Sus scrofa: one gene and its partner. The protein of the gene in region 1 interacts with the protein of each later gene in a pairwise test. Links are inferred from orthologs where the notes say so. Each region holds a gene or a part of one and is shown on either strand. Other genes may lie near its edges.

Region 1 (16,675 bases):
ATTGTGAAAATTACTCTTATACATGTACCTTTAAAATATAATTGTTTTAACATTTAGCTCTATGATCCATCTGCAATTCAATTTTTCACTGTGGTGTGAATTTTCTTTTTCCAGATAAATATTTGCATCCCAATAGAATTAACTGAAAAAACTCATATTTTTCTCAATGCCTGCAATGGCCCTTTTCATGAATATGTCACCTGTACATACACAGGTCTGTTTCTGGGTTCTACTCTGCTCTGGCCTTGTTACTTTATCTTTGGGCACATACCACACTGCCTTAATTAATGCAACAAGTCCTGCCAAATAATCTTCTTTACTTAATATTGTCTTGATTATTTTTGGCCATTTGCATATTCATATAAATTTTAGAATCACATCATATTTCTATACAAAAACTTGTGATATATTCAGAGAAAACTGGCATTTAAACAATATTGAATCTTCTAATCATGAAAATTTCAGTCTTTATAATTACTTAGGTTTTCCTAAAAATTTTTTTCTTATAAAGGTTTTTATATATGTTATTAGATTTATCTGTGATACTTTTTGATACTACCATAAATATAACATTTTAAAAGTTTATATTTTCTAATTGATGGTTCTGGAATATAGAAACATGACTGACCTTGTATATTGACATTTATATCCAATAACCTTGGCAAGCACTTACCAATACTTATAATTCAATCAGAGACTAGTCTGCATTTCTTATCTACACAATGATACCATTTGTCAACAATTAAACTTTTATTTCTTCCTTTCCAATAATCATTCATTTTCCTTTTCTTATCTTACTGCACTGTCTTACATCACTAGTACAATACTAAATAGAAGTAGTAATAAAAGGTATTCTTCTTGTCTCATTTGTTATGAGAAAGAAAAATTTTAATATCTCACTTCTAAGTAGATGTTTGCTGTTTTGGGTAGATATGCTTTATGATTATTAAAGATGTGTTCTTCTGTTCCTATATTAAAATGAGTTTTAATCATAAATGAATTAATTTTATCTATTTTTTAAATCATCTATTGAAACGATTATATGATTTTCTACTTATTCTGATATGTGATAAATTACACTACTTTTTTATTAGTAAACAAACCATGCCTTCTTTGAATAAAATCAATTTGGTCATATTATATTTTTCTTTTAAACCATTGTTTAATTCACTTAAACTTTTTTTGATAAAGATATTTACATCTAAGCTCAAAAGTAGTTTTTCCTGTACTTCTTCATTCTTTTATTTTTCTTGCTGAGTTTTTGTATCATAAAATGAGTTGATGAATACAGCCTTTTTTTTTAGAATACAAAAATTGAATGTTTCTTAAGTGTTTGATATAATTATCCACTAAAGCCAAATGGACTTAGAATTTCCTTAATGTAAATCTCTTAATTATGTCTTCAATGTCTCTAATGCTAAAGGATTATTCCACTTTCTTTTTCTTCTCATATCTTTTCTAAAAGTTGTATTTTCTAAGAATTTTGTTTCTCCTAAATTTTCAAATGTATTGACATCATTGATGATAATGTAATTTCATTATTATCTGAAGGATATTCTGTTGAAATGGAACACTTATTTTTCAAATGGTAATGCATAAAGTTTTTTTATTTTCTTTCCAGTCTCAGAAACTTACTTGGCCTTCTTATTGAAAACCAAATCACAGAAACAGTAACAACTTCAAAAAGGCCAGTAGGTTCAGCAACCTGTATTCCAATTAAAGCTCTCTAGGACTGGAATCACTACTTTGGTAGTTTTATTTATTTTAACTTCATTCATTCATTAAACAAAGTTGCAGATAAAAGAGTCCTTACTGTCAGGAAACTGTCTGGAAGAGAAGCCGATCCAGGAAAGAACCAAACACAATCTTATTAAATAAATTCTACTGTGCAATCCATGGCCTAGATGGTCACAAGATGGCCCAGATGGTCACAAGAAGGAGGGAGGGGAGGTACTATTTTCTTCTAAAACTGAGTTTCACGTGTTGGCAAGAATGGCAGAATGGTAGGAATTGAGAGCAGCAGAGATAACATCCTGAATTGATTTGTCACATTAAGGAGTCTAGATCGAGTACATAATGGGGAAGAAATGACAGTTTTTAAATTATCTGATTTGCATTTTCCCCCCTCTTTTTTTAGGGCCACACCTTCAGAATATGGAAGTTCCCAGGCTAGGAGTTGAATCAGAGCTGCAGCTGCCAGCCTATGCCACAGCCACAGCAATGTGGGATCCGAGCCACATCTGCAACCTACACCACAGCTTGTGGCAACACTGGATCCTTAACCCACTGAGCAAGGCCAGGGATTGAACCCTCATCCTCATGGATATTAGTCAGGTTCTTAACCTACTGAACCACAATTTGCATTTTGAAAGTTAGAAATGAGGAACAATTTCAGGATTTATAAGGTTAATAATGTCAAAAATTTAGAATTATCTAAAAGAACATTATAATCCTACTTATTAACAAAATAAAAATCTATTATCTATGTAAATTTTAAAAAGTTAAAGGCCTTAAATGAGAGGCTTACCTGCAGTTTCTCCTGAATAAGTAACAGAGATTAAGCAGAAAAAGAGTACAACAAAACACTTCAGGTTTACATACCGATAACAAGATGCTCCATAAGGACATTCAGGCCGCTCATCAGCCTCATCTTGACACGTGACATGTACATCTCCATAATCACTATCACCAGGGTGACTGAAGTGTTGAAAATGGACAGGATTCTTCCTATGAGAGTGACAAATACACTGTCAAAAAATAATAGAATATACTAGGTTTCTAGATATAAGAGAAAAAAACAATTAATAGGATATAGCAGGAAATCAAACAATACACATCTGATTATTCCAGAATATGAACCAACATGCTACACTTAAAAACAAAGCTCATGATATCTAGTCAGTACAGAAGTCTTACAGTAGCAAAATAAATTTCTAGTAACATGAATATCAATGGGCAACTTGCAAAGAGTACTTTATATCGGATATATAGGATACAGAATGTAAATATTATAAGCATACATAGCTTTTGAACACTTTTAATAAAGTGAACACACCTATGCATCCTCTGCTAAAATAAAAAACAGAAAACTACCAACAATCTAGAAGTTCTGCATGCCCACTCCCAATCATTAAACCCACTTAACTACCCCAAGGTACCCACTATCCTATCAGCTGAAACAATGTTTCTTAAATTTTTTGGTCTGAGGGGAAAAAAAAACCATTAAAACTCCCAAGAGCTTTAATTTATGTGGGTTATATAACCTATTAGAAACTAAAATAAGAAATTTTAAAATACATTTATTTTAAAATAACAAACCTTTTACATATTATCATAAATAACACAATTAATGTAAATATCCATCTACCAAAAAAATCATAGAGACACTGCATCATACGTTATACATTTCTTTAATGTCTGGATTAATGGAGGACACCTGGATTTTCATATCTGCTTCTGTACTCAATCATTAACACAAATCATGTAGCCTCTGGGAAATTCTATTGTACACTTGTGAGCAAGAGAATCAGAGTGAAAAAGGTACATAAAGGATTATTATGAAAATGGTTTTGGTCCAAAATATTTCTTAAAAGCATCTAGGGGACAAGGACTCACCATGGTTTCTGGACCATATTTTGAGAAGCAATGTTATAAAACAACATATTAGTTTCATCTGTTCTTGAATTAAAATGGAAATGTATAGTATATACTTTTTTGAGAATGACTTATTTATTTGTTTGTTTGTCTCTTTTGGCCATTCCCATGGCATGTGGAAGTTCTTAGCACAGGGATAAAACCTATGCCAAAGCAGCAACCAGAGCCGCTGCAGCAACAATGCCAGATCCTTAACCTGCTGAGCGACAAGAGAACTCTGAGAATGACTTCCATTTGAATGATCATTCCACATTGTTGCATGTAACAGTAGTATACTTTTATCACTGTGTAACATTCCATTGTATGAAACTGCCCATTCCACTATCTGTCCATTCCACTATTAACAGACTTCTGGATTCATTCTAGTTATTGGCTTTCAGAAATAATACTTCCATGAACATTCTACTTTGGGTATACTATTAGAAGTAATAAACTAATTCAGCAAAGTTGCAGAATACAAAAATCAACGTTCAAAAACCAGTTGTGTTTATATATACTCGTAATAAACAATCCCAAAAGAAAATGATGAAAACTATTTGATTTATAATAACACTTAAAAGTTGGAGTTCCTGTCATGGCGCAGTGGTTAACGAATCTGACTAGGAACCATGAGGTTGCAGGTTCAATCCCTGGCCTCACTCAGTGGGCTGAGGATCCACCACTGCTGTGAGCTGTGGTGTGGGTTGCAGATGTGGCTCGGATCCTGCATTGCTGTGTCTGTGGCATAGGCTGGTGGCTACAGCTCTGATTAGACCCCTAGCCTGGGAACCTCCATGTGCCGTGGGTGTGGCCCTAGAAAGGACAAAAAGAAAGAATAATAATAATAATAAATAAAAGTAAAATATTTAGGAAATAAGCCTGAGGTGAAAGACAAGACAAGTTTAATTTCTATTACAGAAAACACAAATAAATAGACATCCTATGTTCATGGAATGGAAGACTTAATATTGTTAAACTACTCTCAAAGCAAACTACAGATTTAAAGCAATCCTTAGTAAAATCCCAATGATATTTTTTGCAGAAATAGAAAAATCCATCCTAAATTTCATGTGGAATCTCAAGGGACCTCGAATGGACAAGACAATCTTGAAAAAAAAGACCAAAAGGTTGGAGGTTTCACACTTTTTGATTTCAAAACTTATTACAAAACCACAGTCATCAAACTAGTGTGGTACTGTCATAAAGATCAAGGATATAGACACATGGAAGAGAACAGAGAGCCCAGAAATAAACTCAGGCTTATATGGTCAAGTGATTTTCAACAAAGGTGCCAAGACCATTCCAAAAGGAAATAATAGTCTTTCCAACAAAAGGTGTTGGGAAAATTGGATACTGACATAAAAAAGAATGAAGTTGGACCCTTCCCTTATACCACACACAAAATTCATTCGAAGTGCATCAAAGAACTAAACATAAGGCCTAAAACATAAAGCTTTTAGAATGGGGGGGGGGCTTCATGACACTGGATTTGTATACAATTTCTTGCCAAATGCAAAGACAACAAATGTAAAAGTAGATAAATTGGTCTACATTAGAATTAAAATTTTCTGTGGATCCAATTAATAGAGTGAAAAGGCAACCTACATACAGAATGAGAGAAGTATCTGCAAGTCATGTACCTAATGAGGGCTTAATATCCCTATACAAAGAACTCCTACAACTCAATGCCAAAAGATAAATAACATGATTCAAGAATGAGCAAAGGACTTGAATAGATATTTCTCCAAAGATATACACAAATGGTTAACAAACATATGAAAAGATGTTCAACATCACTAATCATTAGGGAAATGCAAATCAAAAACACAATGAGGTATCATACCTCACACCTATTAAAATGACCACCATCAAAAAAAAAAAAAAAAAAACTCAGAAAATAATAAATATTGGCAAGGATGTGGAGAAATTGTACCCTCTGTGCAATGTTGACAGAAATATAAAACGATAACATAGCTGCAATGGAAAACAGTATGGTGGTTCCTCAAAAAATTAAAAATAGAGGAGTTCCTGTCGTGGCACAGTGGAAACAAATCCGAGTAGGAACTATGAGGTTGCAGGTTTGATCCTTGGCCTTGCTCAGTGGGTTAAAGATCCATGTTGCCGTGAGCAGTGGTATAGGTTGCAGATGCATCTTGGATCTAGCATTGCTGTGGCTATGGCGTAGGCCAGCAACTGTAGCTCCGATTAGACCCCTAGCCTGGAAACCTTCATATACCATGGGTGTGGCCCTAAAAAACAAATAAAATAAAATAAAAATAGAATTATCATATGATCCAGCAATTCTATTTTTGGGTATATACCCCAAATAATTGAACATAGAATCTCAAAGAGTTAGCATTATTCACAATAGCCAAGAGTTAGAAGCAACCCAAAGGTCCATTGTCAGATGAATGGATAAACACGACATGGTTTGTATGTAAACTGAAATATTATTCAGCCTTAAAAAGAAAGGAAATTCTGACACTTGTTACAAAATGGATGAACCTTAAGGACCTAAGTAAAATAAGCCAGTCATAAAATAACAAATACTGTATTCTTCCACTTATGTAGCATAACTATAGTCAAAATGAACTTGCTTTAATTCCCAACCATTTCTGTGCTATTTTCATATATTTTAATTTCACAAATATTTTATACAACACAAGTTATTAATGCTTTATAAGTCAATATTCAATTTTATTATGTTCCTATTTTCCATGCTAAACAGCTATATTTCAATATAGGGCCTCTCCTGCTTTGCAAACACTGACCTCCTTTTTGTTGGCTAAGCTCCGTAAGACCGCCCAAAACACCACCTGCCCTCTTAGCTCTCAGCCTCAAACACTAAAATGCTGGCAAGTGTCACAAGGGGAAAAGAAGCCTTAGGGTCCCAACTGCCTCCATGTTCTCAAATATGGGTGTTCAGCTTTGGTAACTGTTCTCAGTGGGAGGTTTGGGCCTCAATAAGACACTTCGCCTTTATCAGGGATGAAAATCTTATTTTATATACTATTAACTCAGATAATTTATATGACCTTATGTAGATAGAAGCTACAAGTTTTTAAATTAAGGTATAAATTTCTTACATGCTAATGAGACATTTCTATTTCTGTCCAGTTCTTAAACCCAGTTTGCTTCATGGAGCCATATGCTATTAAACAGAAAAACTATATGACCCCCAAAAGAGTAAAATTTTCAAAAAGAACTTTTTGGAAGGAACAGTTTCTACAAAGTTAAATGCTGTTTTGCTGTTATTTTGTTTCACAAAGGAATAAGATGTGACTGCTTTAGACAGGTTGATTTTGAAGTGATGATTATCTGTATCTGAAATCTGTGTTGGAGATATAGGCTTGGGAGTTAATAGCATAACACCAAGGGACTGAATAAGACCACCCTTGAGGAATAATTTTCTATTAAGAGATAGAATATGAATATAAATAACCATAAATCAAAAATTAGGTATTAAATATAAGGTCTAATACCAAGTATTAGAAACTTATATGAAGAAGAAAGTTGCAGACTAGAGGATAAACAATTTAAAAAGGACATGTCAGAAAAGGACTCAGAAAGGAACTGAATGAATCTTGAAGTGGGACAGCAGTGAGGAAAAGGGAACGGCATGTTCAAAAGACAAATGACAGCATAACAGCATGGTGCATCCAAAGAATTACTGAGAGTTCAGGACCTTCTGGACTATGCTAAGAAAGCCAGGCTATAGCCTCCAAACAATTCTGTAAAAGGGAGTAATACTGTGAGATTTTTTTGTCTTCTCTCTCTTATTCTTTGTTTTTATTTTTTTGAAGGCAGATGACTCAGGCAACAATGAAGAAAAAATATGAACTTGAAGGCAAGTGTGATGACTTGTCCCAGAGAGGTCATGGTATGAGCTAAGACATGGCATTGAGGCTGGAGAAAAGACACATTTAACTGATTGTTATGATGTACATACATAACGAGTACTCAAAATAGGTTATTTTCCCCCTTTGTTACAAATATAAACATTTTGTCTTCAAGATTTAAGATTTCAATGGCAAATGTTTCTCAGGTATTAATTATGCATATGAAAATCAGTGAAAAAGTAAAATAACTATTCATAAGCTATGACTGATTAAAACTAACATGTATCATCATCAAATATGAATGAATTCAGTATAATCTTGATAAAATACTCAATCACATTTAACAAAGACAAATACAAGCCCAACACTGTTAGGGACTGAATTGTGTCATACCTCCCCAACCCTACACATTTATATGCTGAAACCTTAACCCCTAATGTGACTATATTTGGAGACAAGGCCTTTAAAGAGCTAATTCACATTAAATAAGGTCATAAGGGTAGGGCCTTGATCCAACTGACTGATGTCGTTATCAGATGAGAAAGAGACACCCAGGATGTGCATGAACAGAGAAAAGGCCATGTGAGGACATGAGAAGGCACCATCTGCAAGCCCAGGAAAGAGACTGCAGGAGAATCCAAACCGGCCAGCACCTTGATCACGGGCTTCCAGACTCCAGAGCTGTGAGATAATAAATTTCAGCAATTTAAGCCACCCAGTCCATAGTATTTTGTTATGGCAGCCACAGTAAACTAATACAAATATCAAACAGGATTTTTCAGAAATCCAAAATAACAGAAAGTTTATACTTCCATTCCCCAAGTTTATAAATTATGTTCCACATGCAGACCTAAGGCCACAGCAGATAGATAAAACTGTCAATAGATGCATAAATTATAATTGTTGAAATTGAACAATATCGTTACTCAAGTACTAAATGATACTGCATTTTTTTTGGCTGCACTCACAGCATGTGAAAGTTCTCAGGCTAGGGATTGAACCCATGCTGCAGTTGCAACCTGCACCACAATAGCGGCAACACCCAGATCCTTAACCCACTGTGCCACAGGGGAACTTCCTAAATGGCATTGCATTTTAAAGAGAGACATGAATGAAAAATTAAGAGAATATGTGACATAAGCATGCTATTGCATAAAAGACAACCTGTACTAGAATGTATTGATAAGACACTTGGTTTGATGAGCTGTAATGGCACAGAAATAATTCTGAAATACAGCTATGTATTTATCAGCATGTCAGTACAAACATAGAGGAACAAGAGACTACAAATAAGGAATTAGTTTGAATTCACAAAGTATGAAATCAAAAAATATGGTACCAGGTAACTAAATGAAGTATGGGAGTAACCAATCAATTCAAAGAATATATATTCAGTTGTTTTAGAAGGCATCATGGTGATTCAAAAGCACCATTAGAAAAATATGAACAAGGAGTTCCCATCTTGGCACAGTGGAAATGAATCCGACTAGGAACCATGAGGTTGCAGGTTCAATCCCTGGCCTTGCTCAGTGGGTTAAGGATCCGGCAGTGCCATGAGCTGTGGTATAGGTCGCAGATGTGGCTCGGATCTGGCATTGCTGTGGCTCTGGCATAGGCCAGCAGCAATAGCTCTGATTAGACCCCTAGCCTGGGAACTTCCATATGCCGCGGATTCGGCCCTAAAAAGACAAAAGACAAAACAAAACAAAATCCAAAAAAAACCTCACCAGTATAGTAAGATACCTAAACACAACCAATAATTTTCTTGAGAATTATTTTACATACAACTATTTTTGAAGCCCATCTTTCTAACATCTAAATAAGACATTAAATAAGCATGTATTTAAGGTCTGAGTGATTCTGTTTTCAAGTCTGAATCCCCCAGTTCAGATCCTTGCATTAATTAGCATATCCACAAATGAAACTTTTAATTCCTCACTATTATTTTAAAAGCCTCTAGCAGGATTTGCTAGAATGCATATTGAGAAAGTACAAATGAGCAGACACATGATAAAAACTCCTAACCTTTAGCCTATTGGGTTTTATTAGGCCTTTAACACACTATAGCATATATCTGCATAGCTATCTGCTATTGAAATGATGGAATTATATGCTACCCGTAATTTCATTTTACCTGTAGCAGTTTGCCCCATACATGCAAGATGTCCTCTTGAGCTTGTTTTCTTCAGAACCCTGTGGAACTGACCTGGTTGCCTCTGCATGCAAAGTTTCAGGATTGAAAGGATGAGAGCTGGACTCAGGATGAGACCTTTGAGATTCGTCCAGGGAGGATGTGCCTTGGGCACTTGAACAGCTCTCAGCACAGCTCCTCACCTTGTCGACTTTATTTGGTGTTCCCTTAGCAGTGATTTTTTGTTCAGAAACCTCACCAAGTTCCTCTACCGGGGTTTCATTTCTCTGTGTATTAGTTTTCACTTTATTCACTTCTGTATTGTGTAATGTGTTTGTAAAACGTGATTGTGGCATTTCCTATAAGACAAATCAGAAAAATAAAAAGTAAAGCATGTTTCAAAAGAAATAATGTAAATTTAAGCGTAAAAGTGTGAAACTACAACATTCGTGCAATATGTATATTTAAAATTTTTTATCCTTTTTTTTTTTTTTTTGCTTTTTAGAGCTGTACCCGTGGTATATGGAGGTTCCCAGACTAGGGGTCTAATCAGAGCTACAGCTGCCGGCCTGCACCACAGCCACAGCAACTCCAGATCCGAGCCGCATCTGCCACCTACACCACAGCTCACAGCAACACAGATCCTTAACCCACTAAGCAAGGCCAGGGATGGAACCTGCAACCTCATGGTTCCTAGTCAGATTTGTTTCCATTGCATCATGACGGAACTCCTGATTCATATTTTAAAGTTATTAAAATACCATTTTCTATGTCTCTAGTTTGTTAACTTTGAAATAATCTACAAGTATTAGAAAAGGAGTTCACAGTTACATGAAATCTTTACAATTGTGTCAAACATCAGTGAAAAGTAATCAGAAAACTATAAATTTGCTTTCATTTAAATATAACCTTTGCCCCCAAAACCTTAAATGTCTCTTAAATTACCTGTTCAACAATATGTCAAATTCTTATCATGCAGTTTTCTTATAATGTCCTATAAGTTACTTTAACATTTTATTTCTACCCTCTAAATATAATCACGATTTTTTCTTATAGCTGAATGATGAAATTGCTCCTCCCTCACAAAAAATTTGCATGAAGTCTATGTTATGACCAACTTAGAAAATAAATATGATTCCTCTGAAGTAATATGAATAACAGTTTCAGTTTAACCAATTAAAGATATTTTGAGTCAAGTAAATATTTTCACTAGCAAGACAGAACTTTTTTAATGTGTACTTACCACAAGTACAAAGAGTAAGCCTGGTCTTACCCTATTAAAAATGACCTCTTAATTACTTATATTTGATGTGGAGTGGAAACTGCTCAGATAAACCCCAGTCATCTTGGTAACCATTTCCAGGATGTGATGACAACATAATTGATAGACGTGAACATTTACCCCTATGTATAACTATGAACTCATGTATTCTGGCTGTCTTCTGGAAAGAGCTAGTTTTAGTATTATTTAATATCCAACAGTTCAAATTTCTTAAGAAGATACTATCAGCATGACTTCTTTTAGACTAATAACTTAGGCGTTTTGACAGTTTTTTTAAGAAATAGTATGCAACTTTAAAATGTTATCGAAACTGATTTAAAACATTGTGAAAAGAACCTAGGTCTAATCATGGTTCTTGTATAGTATTGATAAGCTATGGGAAAAGCAATCAGCTGGCTGCCTCTTGGTGCTGGCTCTCAGCTGGTGGCATTTACGCCCCATCCCTCTTTCCTCCCAAGCCACTCAGTTACACCCCAATCTCATCTCCCTCTGCTACAGGACCAACTAACACATGCCAGGAACTGCAACCGTAGGGCGGAGCCATCCTGACCCACTTCCCTACCGGCAGTCCCCCACTGGGTTAACTCAACCTATTTTCTTCTTCCCTCTTCAGCAGTAATGGGGTAGGTAGGCTAATCTCTGGCTAATTAAACAGGTCCCATAAAATGTCAGTCCCCTGTTCCTGTTGGCATCTCAAAATGCCATTATATGTGTGTGTGTGTGTGTGTATATATATATATATATATATATATATATATATATATATATATATATATATTTTTTTTTTTTTTTTTTGCTTTTTTAGGGCCACATCTGAGGCATATGAAAATTCCCAGGCTAGGGGTCTAATTGGAGCTGCAGCTGCCAGCTTTTGCCACAGCCACAGCAACACAGGATCGGAGCCTTGTCTGCAAGCTACACCACAGCTCACAGCTACACCAGATCCTTAACCCACTGAGCAAGGCCAGGGATCGAACCTGCATCCTCATGGATACTAGTTGGGATCATTACTGCTGAGCCACAAGAGGAAATCCACAATAAATTCTCTTAGAGTGCATCCCTTCTTGATTTTAGAAAAGGAGAAAATAACTTCTTCCCATCAATGCAGCACTCTTCCAAATCTTAAAACCTTCTTGTCTCTCAGTTCTCTTTGTATAAAGCCTGGGGGTGGGACAGCAAATACTTCTCACGCCTTTAAAGAAGCACCTAGAGAAGGGTGTGGCTCTCACTGCTGGGAGCTCCTTTCAAACATGAGATGCTTATACTTAGTGCTTCTGTCTCCAACATTGGGCCTCAGCAACAGTTTGGGGACAATAGGGGAAAATATCATACTCGATGTCCTCTCACATTTATTATAGGCGGGAAAAAGGATACAACTAGGGAAATGGTTAAATAAAGTAAAACACATTCTTACCATAAACACTATGTGGAGGTTGAAAAGGATGATGTAGACCTATATATATCTAAGGATTTTTATAAAGACCTTATTTAAAAAAAATTTCTTTTTTGTCTTTTTAGGGCCGCACCTGAGGTACATGGAGGTTCCCAGGCTAGGGGTCGAATCCAAGCTGCAGCTGCCAGCCTACACCAGAGCCACAGCAACGTCAGATCCAAGCCACATCGGTGACCTATACCACAGCTCACTTAACTTACTGAGCGAGGCCAGGGATCAAACCCTGCATCCTCATGTATACTAGTCAGATTCATTTCCACTGAGCCATGACAGGAACGCCTCTAAGAATTTTTAAAATTATACCATATATATACTATGATTCTATCTAACTTAAAAAAAATCCCCTATATATCCACATGAGTATTTACTTGTGTAAATCCAAGTGAAAAGATTCAGAAGGATGCAAACCAAAATGTCAGTAGGGAAATGGAATTAAAGGATGAGGCAAATCAAGAATTTCACTTTTTACTTCACACGTGTCTGAATATTCTAACTTTTGTACAATAAGCATCTACTATATTACCCCTTAAAAAATGAAAAGCAAACCAAAGAAATGAAATAAGATATAAAATGTAAAGCATCTTATTTCAACTCCCTCTACTTTCTTGAAATGTTAAGAGTTTATTTTTTTAATATCTTCAACAAGGAATATGTTTATCATGTTAATTTAATCCAAAAGAGAGAGGAGGATAAAGTCACAGATATCAATACCATGGATCAGGGGTTCTCAAATACATTTTAAGAGGCATAAAAGCTGGAATTCATAATGTTCTTTATGGAACTCCATGAAATATTGATATTCAGTAGGCCCTTGGCACTCAAGAATTTAATATTCATGGTTTCAATTATTTATAAACGGCCCAAAAAATCCATTACATGCAGTAATTTGTAAATTTGCTGAGACATAAATTCGTACTGTACCAGTTACAAGGCTCATGAGCCAGAGCGAGTCACTGAACCAGCAAACGAGGGAAGAGGAAAGATGGAAGGTGCTCTGTACTTGAAAGAAGCAGGGGGAAGGCAGAGAGCTCCATATTTTATGGCACTCACATTGCTTACGTCCTAGATTAGATGAAAATGTGAAGGATGATGTTGTGAGAGGCTAGAGATTCATGACAGAAGAGGCCAGATCCCCAACACTGTAAAAATACATGCTAGAGACCTCAGGAATCAAGAAGCCTGGAGCTGGTGGAAGGTGACCTTGGTGTTTGTAGGTGGCTAGAACATACTATGAAGACTATTAAAATAGCCTGGTAACTTGTCCAACAAGTCCTCCCTTCTACTCCCTTTTCTTCTGAAATTGCCAGAACCTGTCCCATCTGGCCCTTTAAAATTCAGCCTCCTCAGAATCCAGAGGCTACACTCTAATATCTTTCTTTCTTCTTTTTTTTCCCAGCCATGATGTGAATGTATTGATATGGGATCTCAGTTCCCGGACCAGGGATTGAACCAAAGAACTCCCAACCCTTAATTTCTTATATTCCCTGGATTTTTTTTTTTTTTTTTGGTTTTTTAGGGCTGCACCAGTGTCATCCATATGACATTAGACCCCAGGGTAGGGGTCTAATCAGAGCTGTAGCCGCTGGCCTATATCACAGCCACAGAAACTCCAGATCTGAGCCACATCTGTGCCCTACACCACAGCTCATGGCAACACCAGATCCTTGACCCACTGAGCGAGGCCAGGGGTCGAACCTGCACCTTCATGGATGCTAGTCAGATTCGTTTTTGCTGAGCCACATCAGGAACTCCCTTATGTTCCCTGGATTAAAGCTCAACTATAAGCCATAGTCAAAAATGTTCTCAAAGTAACTGAAGATCCTCACAGATTTGCTGAGGAATTTAATACAGTCATTCAAGCTTATCAACCTGGTTTCTCTGACTTATATCACCTAGTTCACATATTATCAGTGAAGACCAGGCCCAGCATTGGATAAAAACTGCTAACTGGGAAAATCTAGAAAGATCTCTAGAATTACAATGTGGAGACCAGCCCCCTCACTTACTATATAATCACACTTAAGCAATCATGAGGCGACTTCATCAGGTAATTGCTATAGTTTTTCCAAAGCCTGCGGACTGGAACAAAATTCAGGCTTGCACACAAAAATCTGATGATCTTGTTCACGCCTAGTGCAGTCAACTTCAGACTATTTTAGAAGAAAAATATGGTCTTCTTTCCGATGTTGATTCCACCTGGATGTCTGTTCGCTCTGTTTATTAACGGGCTGAACTGGGTCCTTTCCCTTCTAGTAAAAAGGACCAGGATGGAATGGGAAACCATGTCTAGTCCTGATTTAGTTGATCTCGCAAATTCACTACACTCAGTCTCTAGGCGCATCACCCGAAAGGAAGACTACTAAAATTCTTAATCTGCAAAATCTAGCAACTGAAGGCTCCTAAACAAAGCCAAAACCCTCCTAGTTTCTGCTATTATCACAAAGATCCAGGACATTGGGAAGAGACTGTCACAAACATAAGTACTTTAGACGCCTTAAGCCCTCTAACCAGGCTTTCCAACATCTCCCCAATTCTCAACGACAGGGCTCTGAGAAACTACAGGGGCTCTTCCCAATCCACCCTCACTATCAACCTGAAGAAACATTTCTCCAATTGGAAATGAATCTCTTCCAGTTCTAAATGATACCAGAGCCACATTCTCAGGGCTCAACCCCACTACTATAAAGCAGCCCCTAAAAAAGTTCAAATAGTGGGATCTGTACTGAGCCTCAAGAGTTTCCCATCTCTGACTCTATTCCCTTTTCTTTAGGCTTTTTGAGAGCTGCACATCCTTTTCTCTTTAGTTTCTCTGCCCCACTCATGTATTAGGGACTAATATTCATTTATTAGGCTGAGACTTCTCAGAGGCGCATCATTCTGGAATTTCTTTCTCCCAAGAGTCCAGAATTTGATGGCAGTCATTAAAATAACCAACCAAATGAATTAAATGATCCTTTGACATTTTTAATTTATTTTTTCCCTGACAGTACTAGACCTGATTCTAGAAACACTGATCATTTGTTCACAGTGAATCAGCTACTGCCCTCCTTATGAACGAAATCTCAAACTGATATGGGCAAAATTTACAGCATACTTCCCATCAAGATTCAAACAGGTCCCTCAAATCCATTTTCCCACAAGTAATCAATATTTTATAAGTAAGGAAGCCCTTAAAGGCATAAAGTTCATAACAGAAGATGACAAGGCTCAAGGTCTCATTATCCCTTACACCAGCCTGCTAAGAAAACCCAAGGGCTGAGGGTGGGGGTTTGTCCAGGATCTCCGAGCAAGTAAACAACACTGTTATCCTTTGACACCCTGTTGTTCTAACCCTCCATACATTACTGACATCCATTCCAACTGGAAGCAAATTCTTTACTGTTACTGATTTCTGCAGTTCATTCTCTGGTATTCCAGTTGAAGAGGCTGGCCAATACCTTTTTGCCCTCACTTGGGAAGGAAAACAATTCACCTGGACAGTAATGTGTGAGGGTTTTGCTGAGTCCCTCTTACTTCTCAGAAATCCTGAAGGCTGTCTGGATTATATTTAAGTTCCCTAGAGGTTCTACTTTGCTGTAATGTGTGGATGATTCACTTCTTTGCTCTCCTTCTCAGGCCTCCTCACAGGAAGACAAAATCTACTTGCTAAAGCTTTTAGCCTTAAAGGGACATAAGATCACCAAAGAAAAACTGCAGTTTGCCCAAACCTAGGTTCAGGTTTTTTTGTTTGTTTTGGTCTTTTTAGGGCTGCACCTGAGGTATATGGAAGTTCCCAGGCTAGGGGGCGAATCGGAGCTACAGCTGCCAGCTTTCACCACAGCCACAGGAACTCGGGATGTGAGCCTCATCTGCAACCTACACCACAGCTCACGGCAATGCCGGATCCCTGACCCACTGAGCGAGGTCAGGGATTGAACCCATATCCTCACGGATACTAGTCGGATTCGTTTCCACTGCACCACTATGGGAACTCCTAGGTTCAATATTTAGGGCATCTGATATCAGAATAATAGCTATACACAGATCCAGATACACTCCTGATGTCCTAAATTTTCCCAAACCCAATACTAAGTGCCAACTACCAACTTTTCTCAGGCTAGTTGCTTATCGCCAAAACTGAATTCCAAATTTCTTTCTTATACCCAAACCTCTCTGTATGCTTTACGTAAACAATAATAACCATGACCCAATCTTATGGGAAGAACAAAACAGCATAGCCTTTAAGTTCTTAAAGTTGAATTTGAGGAACCCACCTGCCCTTGAGAATTGCAATTATCAGATTTCTTTTTTCCTTTTTGTATATGAAAACAAACAGAATGCCCTTAGGGTACTCACCC
Region 2 (16,675 bases), on another chromosome or scaffold:
AGAGTGAATTACCAGAAGAACAGTTTTTGAATTAATAAAAAAAGAATCTGTAATCATTAGAGGTGAGAGTAGGATCATCTTAATTTACTTATTTCCTCCCTTCCCTGCTCCCTTCCTTTCTTCCTTCCATGGCATTGCTGGACTGGCAGAGTAGGTAGATTTTACAAAGGATTCTCCTGATACCCTTGTGACTTAAATGGAGGTATCAGCAGTATACCCACCCTTAGTATCAGTAGTAACTGATTTCTAAGAGAAGCTTATTTCTAATGGTAAGCCACAGAAGTCTATTCTTGATCTTGTCCTGCTCAACATTTTACATAAATTATTTTAATACTTAGAAGAAAGGCTTATCAAAATTTTAAATCACAAGGTCAGCAATAGATTATAAATGTGGTGGATCATAATAACAGAATTAGCATTCACTGTAACCTTCACAAGCCAAATATAAACATGAAATTTCATACCTGCAAAAAAATAAACAAATACAAATAGTGAACCTTGTACACATATTTGGTAACATGACTTATGACAAAAGTAATATAGCATTACAGTTGAGAAAGCATAGTCTTTAATATGTAGTGCTGGGTCAATTATATATCCATATAAATATGGAAAGAATATATTTTGAACCTTTGCTGACAGGATGCACAAAAATCACTTCCAGAGGGATTTCAGATCTAAATGTGAGCTATACAATTATACACCTTTTAGATAAACATAAAACATCTTAATTACCAAAGAGTTCTTAAGCAGGATACAAAAAGTATATGTTATAAAAATTTTGATAAGTTTTAACTTCATGAAAATTAAGTCCTTCTTTTCATCCAAAGATACCATTATGAGAGTGGAAAGGTAACTTATAGAATGGAAAAAATATATTCACAGTGCATAATACCTATAAAAGGATTCATATCCAAAATATAAAGAACGAATCAAAAAGAAAGTAAAATATCAGTAAGAACATCAATATAAAATTAAACTGAATAAAAACATTGGCAAGATTTAATAGATAATCCACAAAACAGGATATTAAAATGCCCAGTAAAAGTAGGAAAAGAATTTAGCATTTTTGCGCATCAGGGAAATGTGAATTAAAACCATGATGTAACACCCACCAAAATGTCTAAAATTATAAAGATGAGAAGTGTTGGTAAGAACATGAAGTGATCATAACTCTCATATACCAAGTGTGTAAATTGGTATAAACCTTTTAGAAAACTTTTGGCTGCGTGGTACTAAAACTGAACATGTGCATATCCTCTGATCCAAAAATTCCACTCACGGGTGTACAGCCAACTGAAAAGTCACTTGCTAGCATGTTTACGGTAGCACCATTTGTGAGAGTCAAAACCTGAAAAATGGTCAAATGCCTGTCAGTAGTAGAATGGATAAATAAATTGTGCTATATCCGTATCATGGAATACTGTACAACTATGAAGATGATGTAGAACTCTGAGAAACAATATGAATGTATTTTTCAAACACAATTTTGAACAGAAGAGGCTAGACAGAAAATAAAATGTGCTGTGTAAAAGTACAAAAATACTCAAAACTAATCTGTTAGAATGGTTATTTGAGGACATAGTGACTAGAAGTGGGGTATTGTGAGAATAGGTTCTGTATTGGCAACGTTATGCTTCTTGGTCTAGGTACTGTTTATATGGATTCATTTCATTGCAAAACTAGCCAAGTTGGATTTTAGATATATGCTTTTTTCCCTGTATATAAGACTCAAATATAAAGTTTCAAAATGCAAAAAAAAAAAAAAAAAAAAAAAAAAAAAAAAAAAAAAAAAAAAGACTTATTGGTGTAGGTTGTGATAACTTGATATAACTGATCTCTACTCAAGGGCACTTCTGTCTCAGTGGGCAGAGTGAGTCCTGGGAATCCCATTCTTAGACAAGGCATGCTAGGATATTGCCAACTCTTGAGTTCTAAGATTTTCTTTTCCTCATCTTTGTGTTTATTCTCTCTTCTCATTTCACAGTCTTTCTCCAGTGACTAAGACACTTGGTCAAATTTATAATCACATTCCAGTCCTAAGATTTATTCATAGATCACTCACACAGTTCTTAATGACCATTTTGTTGTTGTTGTGGAGAAAGAGGCTATTGACACGTGGGAAAAATGTTATCTTTATATTATTGGAAACAGTAATTTTTAATCACTTACCTAACTTGGGCAAATCATTTGCCGTTTATGAGTTTCTGCTTATTGGTAAAAATTGTGAGTCAATATTGAATAGAACTATGTTGCTGAGTTTGATGGTTGGCTATTATACAGCTTTTTGTTTTACTTATTTCCTTGGTGCTTTGTATTACTAGGAGAGCAATACAGAAAACACACTGTTTGATGGAGTTTCTTACAAATGTATTAATTTTATCCTTTTATAATAGGTGACCAGAAATGGAGAGAAAAGTAAGCAGAATCTATCTCACTTCTGAACCTGAAATAATTCATTTTCTACAAGTCGCTTGGGAGAAAACACTAGGATCTGGTTTTGTTATTACCCTTACTGATGGGCAGTCAGCATGGATTGGGACAGGTAATATCAAAAGCAAATTTCTTAAAGAAATATTTCAGTAATGTGCTATTCTTCAGCCCTCAGTGATACTTCACATTAAAATGTTTCTTTAATAGATATTGGTTAAAATTAACATGATTGCTTTTACTTGCTATTACTGTCTAATTTACACATAAACTTGTAATATAATGCCATTTTCTATAAGTTACATTAATAGAAGGATAGAGAAATAACCCTTTGAGTCTTATTACTTGAAGTTGGTCAGAGTTTTTAAAATTATCTCTTTATAAAAAAAAAATAAAGAGTACTTTTTACATGTATCTTTTCACAGGACCCCAGGGAACTATTGGGGTGCACAGGAAGAAGGATTGCCTGGGCCAGGACTTGGGAGAGTGGGTTGGTGGTGGTTTTCATTTTATTTCATATACTTATATTGTTTGACTTTTTTTCCAATAAACATGTACTACATTCATAATGCAACAAAACAGAACTCATAGACTAAGACTTTATAAACCAAGATTCAAGTCTGTATGTGGGATTTTGGCTATTATTATTTATATTTGAAATAGACTTTTGATTTTTTCTTTTTTTTTTAATGGCCACATCTGCAGTATATGGAAGTTCCCAGGCCAGTGATTGACTCCTAGCTGCAGCTGCGACCTTCTCTGGAGTTGCAGCAGTGCTGGATCCTTTAACCACTCTGCGGGGCTGGGGATTGAACCCACACCTCTGAAGTGACCCAAGCTGCTTCTAGACTTTTGATTTTTAAAATCGTTAGTGTAATCTTTAAAAAAGCCTAAAGGCCCTGAAATCATTTATTAACATTACAAGTGTAAAGTCAAAATATTTAGAATTATGTTTTACTTATATAGCAAAGTTTTAATCTACTTTGAAAGTATTTTATTGAAAGATTTTATGTTTATGCAATAGTCATTTCTAGAGTTAATGTTGTAAATGATATTTTAGGTAGAATAATTTTGTCATGTTAATTTATATTCTATTTGCCTATTTATCATCTATCAACTTTTAAAATATTTCTCCAAAATTTGTTATTGTAATTATTATATCCCCTTTTAAAATCACAATGCATTGTGAAGTGTTGCTTTTTCTTAAATGGTACAGATTCTGTTATACAAAATAGTCAAACTGCATTTATACTTGCAGAGTTTTTGAGTTTTTTTCATTCATTTTTCATGACAGAGCAAGGAATGTTGTTACAAGTATTGTAAAATAAAGAAATTTTTAGGATAATGTTTTCAGTAACTGTTGTGGTATCTATTTAAGTTGCGAATTTCTACGTAAGAAAAATCAGTTATTGGTTGGTTGTTGCAATGCAAAATAGAGGAAAATTTGTCAGGTTAGTTCTCTGTTTCCTGGTGAAGGTGTATTCAAATGACAGTAGCTCTGTTTGGGGGTGAATAGTATACTGGATTGAAGATCATAGCAGTAAGTTAATACCATTTTTCTAGGAGAAAAGAGCAGTTCCAATAGCACAGCCCAGGAATCAGATCCTAGGTGAAATGGTTGGTTGTATGTAAGGAATACTGTATTTATAACATAGGTATTTCCAGTTAACAGGTGGCATATTCTGTATAATGAGAGGTTATGGTCAGAGGAAAGACCTTGCAATGTTTTAAGAGCCTTACTTATCAAAAGAAAAGATTAAATTTTAATCTAGTTAATTAATTTCATTCACTAAGGCAAAAAACAGTAAAAATATGTTGTTTGAATTTTTGTGTCATTAAGGATCAGGAAAAGAAAACCAGTACTGTGATTAACTCTTAAATCTTAATTTAACCAGAAATTTAAGTTGATTTTACATTTATGGAACATTTTGTTTATTTCATACAAAATAACTGGCGGTTGTCCTTAATATTATTAATAATATTGTTTTGCTAGCCTAGATCCATTGAGAGCAAGGGACAAATCTGATTCGTCAACCACTGTTCATAATTATCTAGACCAGTACGTAGGACATATGTGCTCAATGGATATTCTTTGAAAAACAATCAAAGGATGCCTGAAATATATAAAACTAGCTAAGGAAAAAAGAGAAAGTGAAACCATCATTTTTAGAGCTAGCGTATTTTTTAATGAAAACTTCAGTTTCATATTTACTTATTGTTGGCATTGATCATAGATGCAGTATGTTTTACCGTTTGTTTTTTAGCTAATGATATATAGTGTGATAAAAATATGAAATATAGTGTGATCAAACTTCTGTATCCTTTGGTGGGTTGTTAACATTTGAGCTTGCTATTTTATACAAGTTTTCAAACAGAAAATTTTATAGTACACTAGATATGGTCATTTGTTCTCAAAGACATTGAAGTTTTAGATCTCATGAATGTTTTATACTTTTTAATTATTCACTTCTATATTCTTGTGTAAATTTCAGGGACAAAATATGAAGCCAAATAATATCATATTGTTTCCATGTTAAGGCTTATACATAAATCTAATTTGGTTCGGCACTTTACAAATAGACAATAACGTGATTAAGAACATTAAAACAATTAAATAATTGAAACATGAAAATGAATTTCCTTCCTATACCTCATCCTGTTTTTTTGTACAGGTTTTTCATTGCTGCAACCTTCAATTTGGATAATTTTTTTTCTTTTCATTTCAGTGAAATTAAAAGGATGTGGGGTTCTTTTTAATCTCCCACACACTAAACTCACTGATTTCTTTTCCATTAGCAATGTTTTATCTAATGAATGTTTTGGGGTCTAATTATCATGTGGTTTATCATCACTTCGACATTATAGAGGGTTATATAGGGTAAAGTCACAAAGTGGGTTAGTGATCGATGACTGTTATGTGACTTTCATAAGAATCACAATCAGCAGTAAGAAACTTGTATCACCCTTTTCTGGAGCAGTTTAAAAAAAGTTCATTGAAGTGTAAATTAAGCTTTGTTAATGCATTTAGTTTCAAGTAATTATATCCACTTACATTTGTTTTAAACATTGATGTACTTGGTGACTTTTATGGAGATTATGTGATAGAACTCAGTAGAAAAATGATTTTTTTCTTTTGGTTGCACCCCTGGCATTCAGAAGTTCCCAGGCCAGGAATCGAACTCACACCTCAGCAGTTCAGCAGTGACCACAGCCATAGCAGTGACAATACTGGATCTTTAACCCCCTGAGCCATCAGGGAACTCCCCAAAAAAGGATTTTTAATGAATGAAGTAATAAAGTGGGTCCGTGATTTGGTGACTTCGTAAGTCTGTGTGCCTTCTCAGCTCCACCACAAACTTAGGATATACAGTCTTTTGATTCATTATACATAAGGATCCAAAATAAAGAATATTCTTTTCTTATTTACATCTCTACCTACCTACAAATAGTGTTAAAATGATGCTTTCTTGGCTCCTACCTGTCCAAGAACAAGTAATTGTATTTTGGTCACATTGGCCTGCTCACTTTTTTTTTTTTTTTTCCTTCCCATTTTTTTTTCCCCATATTTTGTGGTTCAACTGTATCCTTACTGAATTTCTTTACTTCCATTGCTTTTATCCCTGGTCACTGAAGTTTTTGGAGCATTGAAGGCTTCCAACTGTGCTTCTTCCAGCACAAAATTCAAAACCAGTGACCAAATTGTTTTGCTAGGATTGAACTTCTAAATAGGCAGTCAAAATTTCACTTACAGGAAATGATTAAGTAAGCTTTTTTCTTAAACCAACGCTTTTTTTTTTTTTTTTTTTTGGTCTTTTTGCCTTTTCTAGGGCTGCTCCCACGGCATATGGAGGCTCCCAGGCTAGGGGTCAAATCGGAGCTGTAGCCGTTGGCCTACACCAGAGCCACAGCAACGTGGGATCTAAGCTGCGTCTGCAACCTACACCACAGCTCACAGCAACGCTGGATCCTTAACCCACTGAGCAAGGCCAGGGATCGAACCCGCAACCTCATGGTTCCTAGTCGGATTCGTTAACCACTGTGCCACGACAGGAACTCCCTGACACTTTTTAAAAAAGTATTATTAGAAAGAATTTCCTATTATATATATATTTTTTTCCCTCAGGAATGAAGTATTTCATAACATTTAAAAAATTTTTTTAAATTACTCAAATGAATTTATCAAGTATTTCGTAACATTAACCAATGCAGCATTCCCAGATGGAGTAACAGAAGTGTAATATCGAAGATAATATCTAAAAGGGTATCTGCAAAGATATCTAAGATGTCAGTACTTGAATCAAGGTTCCATAAGGCTGGTATTTTTGTCTGTCTAGATATTGTCTCTCTGATGCCTAGAATAGTGCCTGGCACATAGTAGATGCTCATTAAGCATTATGCAATAAATGAATTGAATCAATAGATTCTATTAAATATTTTCATAAAGGTATCTTTTCACTTTAATAAAATTTAGAGTACTTTCTACTAGCCGTTTTATCAGTAGATATACTTTCTTTTGTGTGTTTCCTTATAGATTTTTCTATAGTTGCATTAAAGATTGTTTCTATAGATTATTTTCTATTTTTCAATGAAATAATTTCTCTAGGTCCTTATAACTCTTAAAACATTTACAAGCCAAAAATATGAAATTATTCCTTAGAGAGGAAGTGATTGCCTTCTTAGTTTTATGTTATTTTTTACGAGCTAATAGGGTATTTGAAATGTCAGTAGATTTGATAGTAGTGATCATCTTAAATATGCGTATGCTTCAGAGAGAGAAAAAATATGTGGAAGTATTTAGAAGTTGTAGAATCTCACAAGAATATTTTTAGGAGTTCCTGTTGTGGCTCAGCAGTAACGAACCTGGCTAATATCCATGAGGACATGAGTTCTATCCCTGGCCTCGCTCAGTCAATTAAGGATCCGGCATTGCCATGAGCTGTGGTGTAGGTCACAGAGGTGGGTCAGATCCCATGTTGCCGTGGCTGTGGTGTAGGCTGGCAGCTATAGCTCTGATTCAACTCCTAGCCTGGGAACTTCCATATTCTGTGTGTGTGGCCCTAAAAAAAACAAAAATAAAAAGAATAATTTTATACTTACCTTTTTTCAAAGGCTGTGCTGAAGCCCATATTTCAGTATGAGAACTTATCAAATATTGATCATGAAAAATATATGGATGTATTCCAGACTCTCTTCCTCATCGTGGGGCTTCTAGACACTTGATAACATATGGAGCAAAGTTACAAAAGAAGTTATATTTTTAAGAAATCTTTAATCAAAGTTTTATTATTTTCTCTACTCTTTCATACCAATGCATTTTTTTAATATTATGAAAGGAATTTATCTAGTGTCCCATATCTTTGCTTTACCTTAAAACAGAACAACCAGAGAGACATACATACCAATCTCAGTCTTAGCACTTAGCTACTTCATGACCCGAGGCCATTAATTGATCTCTTGGAGCCTCAATTTTATCATTTGCCAAATGAGAATCTCTATCTTTCACTGTTATAAGGAATAAAATAAATAAATGTAACCTTTAAATATAAAAGTTTAGATCCATGTGGATCTTGCATCATTGTGGTAGCCTGAGTTGACACAAGAACCAATCAACCATTCTGAAGAAATATTAGGTTAGATCTTGTGATTTTAAAAGCAAACAGACATTCACATTGCAGCTTTAATGGAAGGAAGGGAAGTCCCTAGGTGCCATGTGTGAAGAGGTATCTGAAAATCAAAATGGTTAATGGGAACTCAAGAACTATAGGTTCATGGGATATCTGAAGTAGGTATACATCTAAATGACTGTGACTGTGGTATCTAAGTGGAGTGGCATGTTGAAATTTTAAGCTTCTTAAAGAATTGGAGCTGAGCTCTCAAGATAAAGAAACCTGGAGGTGAGCCTGTTAATGAAGTCATCTTTAAAACCAACCAACCAACCAACCAACAGAACAGAACGAGAATGTGTCAGCTCCCAGAAGAAATGGAATTAATATCCTAGGAACTATGCATAGATACTAATCTCAACGGGATCTTAAATATGTTTAAATCTTTCACATATTTAAAGGAAAGGTGTGGTAAGGACAAAATATTATGAAAAAGAAATTAAGAGAGTATCTAAAATTGAAAATATTATTGAAGTAAAAATCTCTATGGATGAGTAAAACATCAGCTTTAAATGTACGTAGATGAGAGAACTGGAAGCCAGAAATGTGATATATGTCGTAGAGGAGACAGTAAATATTAATTCCTTACCCTTTCCTTCTTCATCAACTCCCTTCGTCCACTGTTTTTGTTTTTAGCACATGAGAAGATGAGAAGAAGGAATTCTGTTTTTACTTTGACTGCCCATCTGAATAAGAAATAGCCTGTTTAATCCCTTTAATAGTTGAGGCAAGGAAGAAAGTTGTAAAATACTGAGTTTATTAGTCATGATAGGAAATAACTTCTCTGCTGTGACTTCGGAGCAGGTATACAAGATGGCTGTTTCTGTGATAATTCATAATGCATTTGTATCATCTGAGGACAGAAAGAATGCTTTTCAGATGAGATTTGAGACTAAGTCAATGTATTTCTCAAAAATTAAGAAATAACTTAAAAATGTGTGATGTGGGGATTGATTGTACTTTTTGTTTAAATTTCTGTTATATACGTACATAAGTAATGTTATGTAAGTAATTAGTAGCAACCAGTAAACATTTATTCTTATGTTTAGAAATTTATTTTCACATAAATAAAACTTTTTAATTAATATTTCTCATAGTTTCTGAATCAGAGATTTCCCAAGAAGCTGATGACATGGCATTGGAAAAAGAGAAATATGTTGATGAACTGAGAAAAGCATTGGTGTCAGGAGCAGGACCAACTGACACATACAAGTTTAATTTTTCAAAAGACTCTTGTCAATTCTCCTTTGAGAAGAACTTGAAAGATGTTTCAGTAAGTAAAACTTTCCATAATACTCTTAAGTGGTAAAATGTCAGAGCACTTATTGGCTTATTGAGAAATTATTTAAGTAACTAGCATATTATTCCCAGAATACCTCAGAAACAAAAGTTTGAAAAGTACTTGATTTCCAAGTTGGAAGAATGCTTCAAAGTTATAGTTATTAAATGCTTTATATTAATGAATTGTGAAAAAAATGTTGGAAAACTATTTAATTTTTAAATCTTTAAAACTAAATATTATTGAGATAATCACATGAATGAGCAGTTCTGAAAAGTGCCTTCAGAATTTTCAAATCATGAGACAAGGTTTATTGAAATAAGTTTGGGGAAATACTGATTTGAAGAAAGAGAACAATATATTTTTCTTTGCATATTTATTCTTTTTTCTTCTTCATCAGAATGTATTTGAAATTGCAAAAAGGTATTAAAATAGAAATAACTTTCAACACAAGCTTTCCAAAGCTTGCTTGCTGTGCAGACAAAGATATTTGCTCCTGTCCTGTTCAGTTTCTCTACCATTCAGATTAAGGTTTATTTATTTAAAGTTTAGTACTTACTGTTTGTATAGTTTATCCAAGTTTATGGTATAATTGGTGGTTGAATTATTTGCTTTTTGTTAGTGTTTATCAATCAGATATGAGCTCTAAAGCAAAAGAAAGGGAAGGAAATCTTTACTACATTAAGTTTAGAGGCAGTTATTGATGGTTTGTGCTGGAGCTAAATTGAGTTCAAAAATTTCTTCTTTAAAAAAAAACCTCTTTAATTCAGAATGATTAAAGGGATTTTACCAATTGGAGAAACATTTGAAGCCACAGATGGAATCATTACTTTCAAATGTATATTTTCCTATAGAGAATAATACAGAAAGCCTGGCTTCAGTAATGATTTCTATTTAAAACATGCATACTTATTCAACTTAGCTGTCAACTTATGTAAGTTTCAATATGTTGAGGTCCTTAAGATGATAATTTAAAATAAGGTAAGTAAGGATTGAACTGACTACTGAAATTTTGTTATTTATCACGAAGTGTTCTTTGCTATGGTTCAAGTATAATCAAATGATGTTATATACTACACAACTCTTGATTCTAATATTTTGAAGCAGATCATTGTCAAGTTGGGAGTAATGCCATTTCCCACTCAACAAGCATTTGTATATAGTAACTAACATTATTTCATGTGGCTAGATTCTAGTCTTCATCCGTTTTGAGTGTACTGGTGCATAACAAGTTCTAAGTTTGAGAGGTACCTTTTGGGAACTTGAGAGCCTTTTGGTATCTTTGACATGATGAAAAGGAGGGTTTGTTTGGTGCATTGAGTGTGGATGGAGTACTTACCATGCCTGACAGTACATCTGATTTTGCTGCCTTTGTGAAGAAAGAATTTAAAGTGTTCGTGACTTAAGTCTTTTACAATTGGCTTGACATGTATCAGCCTCAAAAACTGTGGCAATGATCCTGAAAGATACTCTGCTTATTGCCCTAAAATCAGTCAACTTTATCGCAGCCAAAGCCTTGAACTCCCTTTTCAACAGGTTTTCTTTCTCAAGAGATGCTCACAGAATAAGAGATTACCAGTATTGCAGAAGCGGGTTGGTTCCCTAATGGATATGTCCCAAAGCACTACAGTGCAGTTTAGATAGCAGCCTCATTATTTCTTCATTTATTAATTTGCCTATGAGGAAAAGAAAATCTACTCTGAGAACAGTTTGATGAGGAGGAGTTCATGCCTTGGCTTACTTGAGAGAGAGTTTTAGATATTTGAGTAAGGTAAAACGAGTTTGAGGTGCTGCAATCAGCCTTACGGATGTACATGAAAATCACAAGTTTTTATGGCCAAACTTCCCATGGTAATCTTCTAGTGCTTCAGAAGATGTTTTTGCAAATTGAATTTCAGAGTGACAATATCTTGTAAATTCATCTGCTGGCAAAAATATTCTGACAGTTGGAAACATGGCAGAATACTTTTTATGGCTACTTTTGCTTTGGATGACCTAAAAATTTAAAAGGAGTTTGTAATCCTTTCCTTGATGTAATTTAATTGTTGCCAAAAATGACCTCCCACACTTAGAAGAAAAGAGAAGAATGAATGTACATTCAACTCAAAAAGTTGTAGTGAATTTTGTTGTTTGTTGACATGAGGTTATTCTCCCATGGGAAAGTATATTCTTTGAGTTCAAAATACATTTGCTAACAGTCTCATGCCTCTGAGAGTCAAGGATTTTGGGCATTTGTTGCCATCAATTCAAGAAGTTTTGTATATGTAATTCTGTGTTGGAGATCACTGCATAATTTGAATATTTTGAATATTCAAGTCATATAAGACTTATTTGAAACTTATATTTGTATCACAATTTTTTCTTTTTTCTCCCTATTTCTTAGAAAGGAATTAACTGCTAACTTTTATATTCTAAAAGACCTGATTTTTAGAAATACTGTCTTGTGTTTTATCAGAGTGAAAGAATTGTCAATTTCCAAAGCAATGAAATCCTTAATACGTGTAATGTTTATGTTGATATTTACATGCATTTTTTTCTAGAGATGGAGTCCATAATTTTTATGAGATTACTTTTTAACTCATAATACCCCCCAATTTTTTTTATGCTCCCTTTGGCTTTTCCTAGATGTTCTCATAGATGTTTCTACTTTAGCTTAATTTTCATTGGAATAAGTATTGAATGGCCAGCTAGATGCTAGTAGTTCTTTTTCTCTATAGAGTACAACCTCTGAGATCCTCCTGTCACATCACCAGGACACTTCATTTGGCAATAGATTGTTATGAATGAAAGTGTACTTTGGTGCAAACATGTGGAAGTCATTATCTCTTCACTATAAGTACTGTCACCCACTCAGAAGAGTATTCATGTACTTTGTGTTACTCTTTTCCCTCCACCTTTCACAGTTCTTATGGATTTTGCAGTATATACTTTGTCATGCAAATAATACATCTTAATTAACAATGTCTTCCTCTTCCGCTTTCATAATTTGCTCTCTTCCTTCAGAAAATATTTTCATTCATGAGCCACATAAAAAAGGCTTAATTATTTTTTAAGAGTAACCCTGGGCTTATCATTTAGTTTGCTCACACTTCTGTTTTCTCATCTATGAAGTTTTAAAGTGATTACTTGGATTCATTCTAGGTCATCTAACATACTGTAGTTTTATATTTCTAAAAATAGTCCTAATGAGGAAAGCCATGTGGTTTGAAGGAAAATTAAACATGATAAACACACATACAAACATACACATGAGAATCAGCTTTAGGTCTGTATTAGAATTATAATAAAATCTTTTTGCATTTTTGTTTCCTTCCTCTCCCTCCCCCACTATCAGATATTGGCTTCAGATATAGTATAGACTGAAAACTTGATGACATACATCATGAAGGCAAAGATCCAAATAGGCAGACCTGGTTAAAACAATGGTTTTATAATGTGGAGGTTCAGGCTTCTTTAACTATGTTGCCCTGCTCACCTTGCAGGCAATAAGACTGAGTTAAGAGAAAATAAAGCACATGTGCATTTTCTTTAAGACCATCACCTTAATATTGCATTCATTACTTCTGCACATATCCCATTGTCCAGAACTAAGTCCCAGGGCTTCGCATAGCTGCAAGGGAATCTGTGAAGTGGGATCTTCAGCTGCATCCTCTGACCAGAAATTTTCATAGCTGTGTAAAAAGAGGAAGGTGGATATTGAGGGACAATAGGCAATCTCTGCATGTTAATATTTGGGAGAGACTGAAGTGTCCATCAGTCATTTAGAAGGGCTCACTTGTATTGTTACAGGGGTCTTTGTCTAGTCAAATAATTGTTTCAGTCGTAGTTTAAAAAATGTTACAACATGTAGTGAGATATATGATAGTTTTCTATTTTACTCTCTGTAGTAACCTTTTAAGAAAAATAGAAAATGCATTCTAAGTTCAAACAGCCTTCTTACATTTATGTAATGTACGTTTTTCAGATATATAAAAATGAGGTAAAATAAGTTAGCCAAAAGCAGTCAAAGTTGTTTTTAAAAACAGCAGTCCAAAATCCTATATTATTGCCATGTGTCCCTGTGGTTTGGGGGACTTTGAAATCAACTGGGTATTTCCAGATGAAATATCAGAATTGGAGCCTTTATCATGGTATTCTGCCAAAGACTTTGTCAAAAGTAGTAATGATTTTCAGGTTTGTGGGAGTATGGGTTGCAAATGTGTTGCTTGAAGGCCTCAAAAAGAAATTGTTGTATTTTTTATTTCTGTGATAAAAGTATTTGTATACATCTACCATTTTTGTATTAAACCCTTTGTAATTCCTTACCTTTTGGTATATGGAAACTAAATCAGTAATGTAAGTGGTGCAGAAATTGTGCTCAAAGTATGTATTTTGTAGTTATGCCATAGACCAGACCGTAGAATTATTACTTTAAAGAAAGATTAGTTTGTAGTTACAGTTTTGTCTTTGGGAACTCATTTTCTTTGTCTTATGTTGTTCTGCTTTGATTTAAAATGTTTTCTTGTTTTATAAGAAACATCTCAACAGGATTATATTTTAATTTGTTCAGTTATTCCAGGATTTTCAGAAAAGAAACAATTTAGTGAAAACAGAAGTTAAAGGTAGCATGTAAACACCATACTCTAAAAGAACTTTTGATTGGTAATAATATTAATTTGTGCTTATTTTCAGTTAATCCCCTTTTAATATATGCTCTCACTTCATCATGTGGACTTGGCATTATCACTATTTTTATTTGAGGAAACAGTTGCTGAAAGCATAAGCAAATTCCTTAGGAAAGCAGAGATACTAAGTTAGGTAGGGTAGAATCCAGACTTCTGCCAAAATAGTTTTTTTTTTTTTTTTTTTTCTTTTTAGGGCCCTGCCCATGGCATATGAAAGTTCCCAGTCTAGGGGTCAAATCGGAGCTACAGCTGCCGGCCTATGCCACAGCCACAGCAACGTGGGATCCAAGCCACGTCTGTGACCTACACCACAGCTCTCGGCAACGCCAGATCCCCAACTCACTGAGTGAGGTCAGGGATTGAACACACATCCTCATGGATCCTAGTTGGGTTCATTGACCACTGAGCCACAAAGGGAACTCCCAAAATAATTTTTTGTTTGTTTGTTTTGGTGTAATATATATACAATAAATGTGAAGTTTTCATCACTCCAGACAGTTCCTTCATGCTTCTTTGAAGTCAGTCCCAAATTACTCCCTCACCTCCCTCCCTGTCCCTGCTCACTCTCCAGTCTGCAGGCACCCACTAAACTCCTCTTTGTCACTCTAGATTAGCTTTACCTGTTTTAGAATTTCATACAAATAGAACTGGACAGTATATACTCTTGCATGTAACTTTACATGGTATAATGTTTTCGAGATTCATTATTATGTGTTGTGTCAACAATTCATTCCTTTTAATTACTTAGTAGTATTATCATATCGATGTACCACATTTCTTGAGCTCTGTTGAAAATCCCTTAACTATATACATATGGGTCTATATTTGGACTCTGTCTTTTTCCACTGATCTCTTTATCTATCTCTGTGCCAACCTCAGACTGTCTTGGTAACTTAGGTTTATAATAAAGAATCAGTTTGTCACGTTTTACAAAAAAGTCTGCTGAATGCATTGAATTTACAGAATTAACAATATTGAGTTTTCTGACCAATGAGCAAAATATATCTCGCCATTTGTTTAGGTCCCCAGTGGTTCTAAACTGGGGGAGATTTTGCTCTTCCAGGAACATGTGGCAATATCTAGAGTCATTTTTGATTGTCACAGCCAGCAGCTGCTGCTGACATTCAGTGGGTAGAAGACCAGGAGGCTGCTAAACATCCTTCAGAGCACAGGACAAGCTTCCATGACAAAGAAGTATCTGGTCCAAAATGTTAGTAAGTGTGAAGGTTTAGAAATACTGATTTATATGTTACTCTTTAGTCACTCAGCAGTTGGTAGTTTTCACAGTATGGATCTTGTAAATTTTTTGTCAGGTTTATCACTTTGAAGTGAAAGCTGAGGTCACTGATTTGAGACCTCTCTTCTTACCTCATTTAGGTATTTTAGGATCTAAATTTCCTTTCAGGTGTGCCTTAACTTCATTTCACAAATTTTGGTATGACCATGTTGTCATTTTCATTTAAAGTATTTCCTAAAATTTTCCTTTAGATAAAATTTGCACTCGTGAGTTATTTGGAAGTTTGTAATTAACTTTCCATTTTTTTGATATTCTAGATATTTTTCTGTTGTTGCTTTTTAATTTAGTTCCATTGTTGTTAGAAAACTGTATGTGACTTGAATCATTTTAAATTGATTTGTACTTATATTAAGGCCCTGAATATAGTCTCTCTTGTTCAATGGTCTGTGTGCACTTGAAAGATATATTTATTCTCCTGTTGTTTGGTGGATATATATGTCAGTTAGATCAGGTTGGTTGATCTTGCTTAAGTTTTCTATATTCTTATTTTCTATCTACTTGCTGTACCAATGACTGAGAATATATTCAAATCTATAACTGTAATCATGAATTTGTTTACTTCTCCTTGAATATTTTCAGGTCTTCATGTATTTTGAATCTTCATTATAAAGTTTAAAACATTGAGATTTATCATGTTCTCTTGATGATTTGACCCATTTATCATTCTGAAATGACCCTCAAAATCTTAATATTCTTTCATCTAAAACCTGCTTTCAGATTTCTTTTGATAGGAGTTGCCATGGTATACTTTTTCCATCCTTCTGCTTTTGACTATTTTTGTCGAATTTAAATTTTGTCCAATTTAAATTTGATTTCTTTTAAGAAATATGTAGTTGTATTTTTCTTTTTTAATCCAGTCTGACAATCTGTGTCTTTTAATTGGGGTGTTTAGGGCATTTACATTTTATATAATTATTGATAATGATGTTTTATTTATTTATTTATTTATTTATTTATTTTTGTCTTTTTTTTTTTTTGCTATTTCTTGGGCCGCTATTTCTTGGGCCACTCCAGCAGCATATGGAGGTTCCCAGGCCAGGCTAGGGGTCTAATCGGAGCTGTAGCCTCTGGCCTATGCCAGAGCCACAGCAACGCGGGATCCGAGCCGCGTCTGCAACCTACACCACAGCTCAAGGCAACGCCAGATCCTTAACCCACTGAGCAAGGGCAGGGACCGAACCCTCAACCTCATGGTTCCTAGTCGGATTCGTTAACCACTGCGCCACAACGGGAACTCCCTTTTCTGTCATTTTTGAACACTTAAGCACTTCTTTTTTTTGTCTTTTGTCTTTTTGTCTTTGTTGTTGTTGTTGTTGTTGTTATTGTTGCTATTTCTTGGGCC

The links.
Region 2: the proteins of APLF (region 1) and XRCC4 interact in binary tests that used the Homo sapiens proteins (3 or more experiments, as listed by UniProt). The link is inferred for Sus scrofa from reciprocal best matches to the Homo sapiens genes APLF and XRCC4.

What each region holds. Positions count from the first base shown.
Region 1 is NC_010445.4:73,778,642-73,795,316, forward strand, and holds part of APLF (aprataxin and PNK-like factor), read right to left. Parts: intron 9,963-16,675; coding exon 9,607-9,962; intron 2,728-9,606; coding exon 2,602-2,727; intron 1-2,601. UniProt on the Homo sapiens protein: Histone chaperone involved in single-strand and double-strand DNA break repair.
Region 2 is NC_010444.4:91,381,995-91,398,669, forward strand, and holds part of XRCC4 (DNA repair protein XRCC4), read left to right. Parts: intron 1-2,396; 5' UTR 2,397-2,406; coding exon 2,407-2,545; intron 2,546-9,190; coding exon 9,191-9,366; intron 9,367-16,675.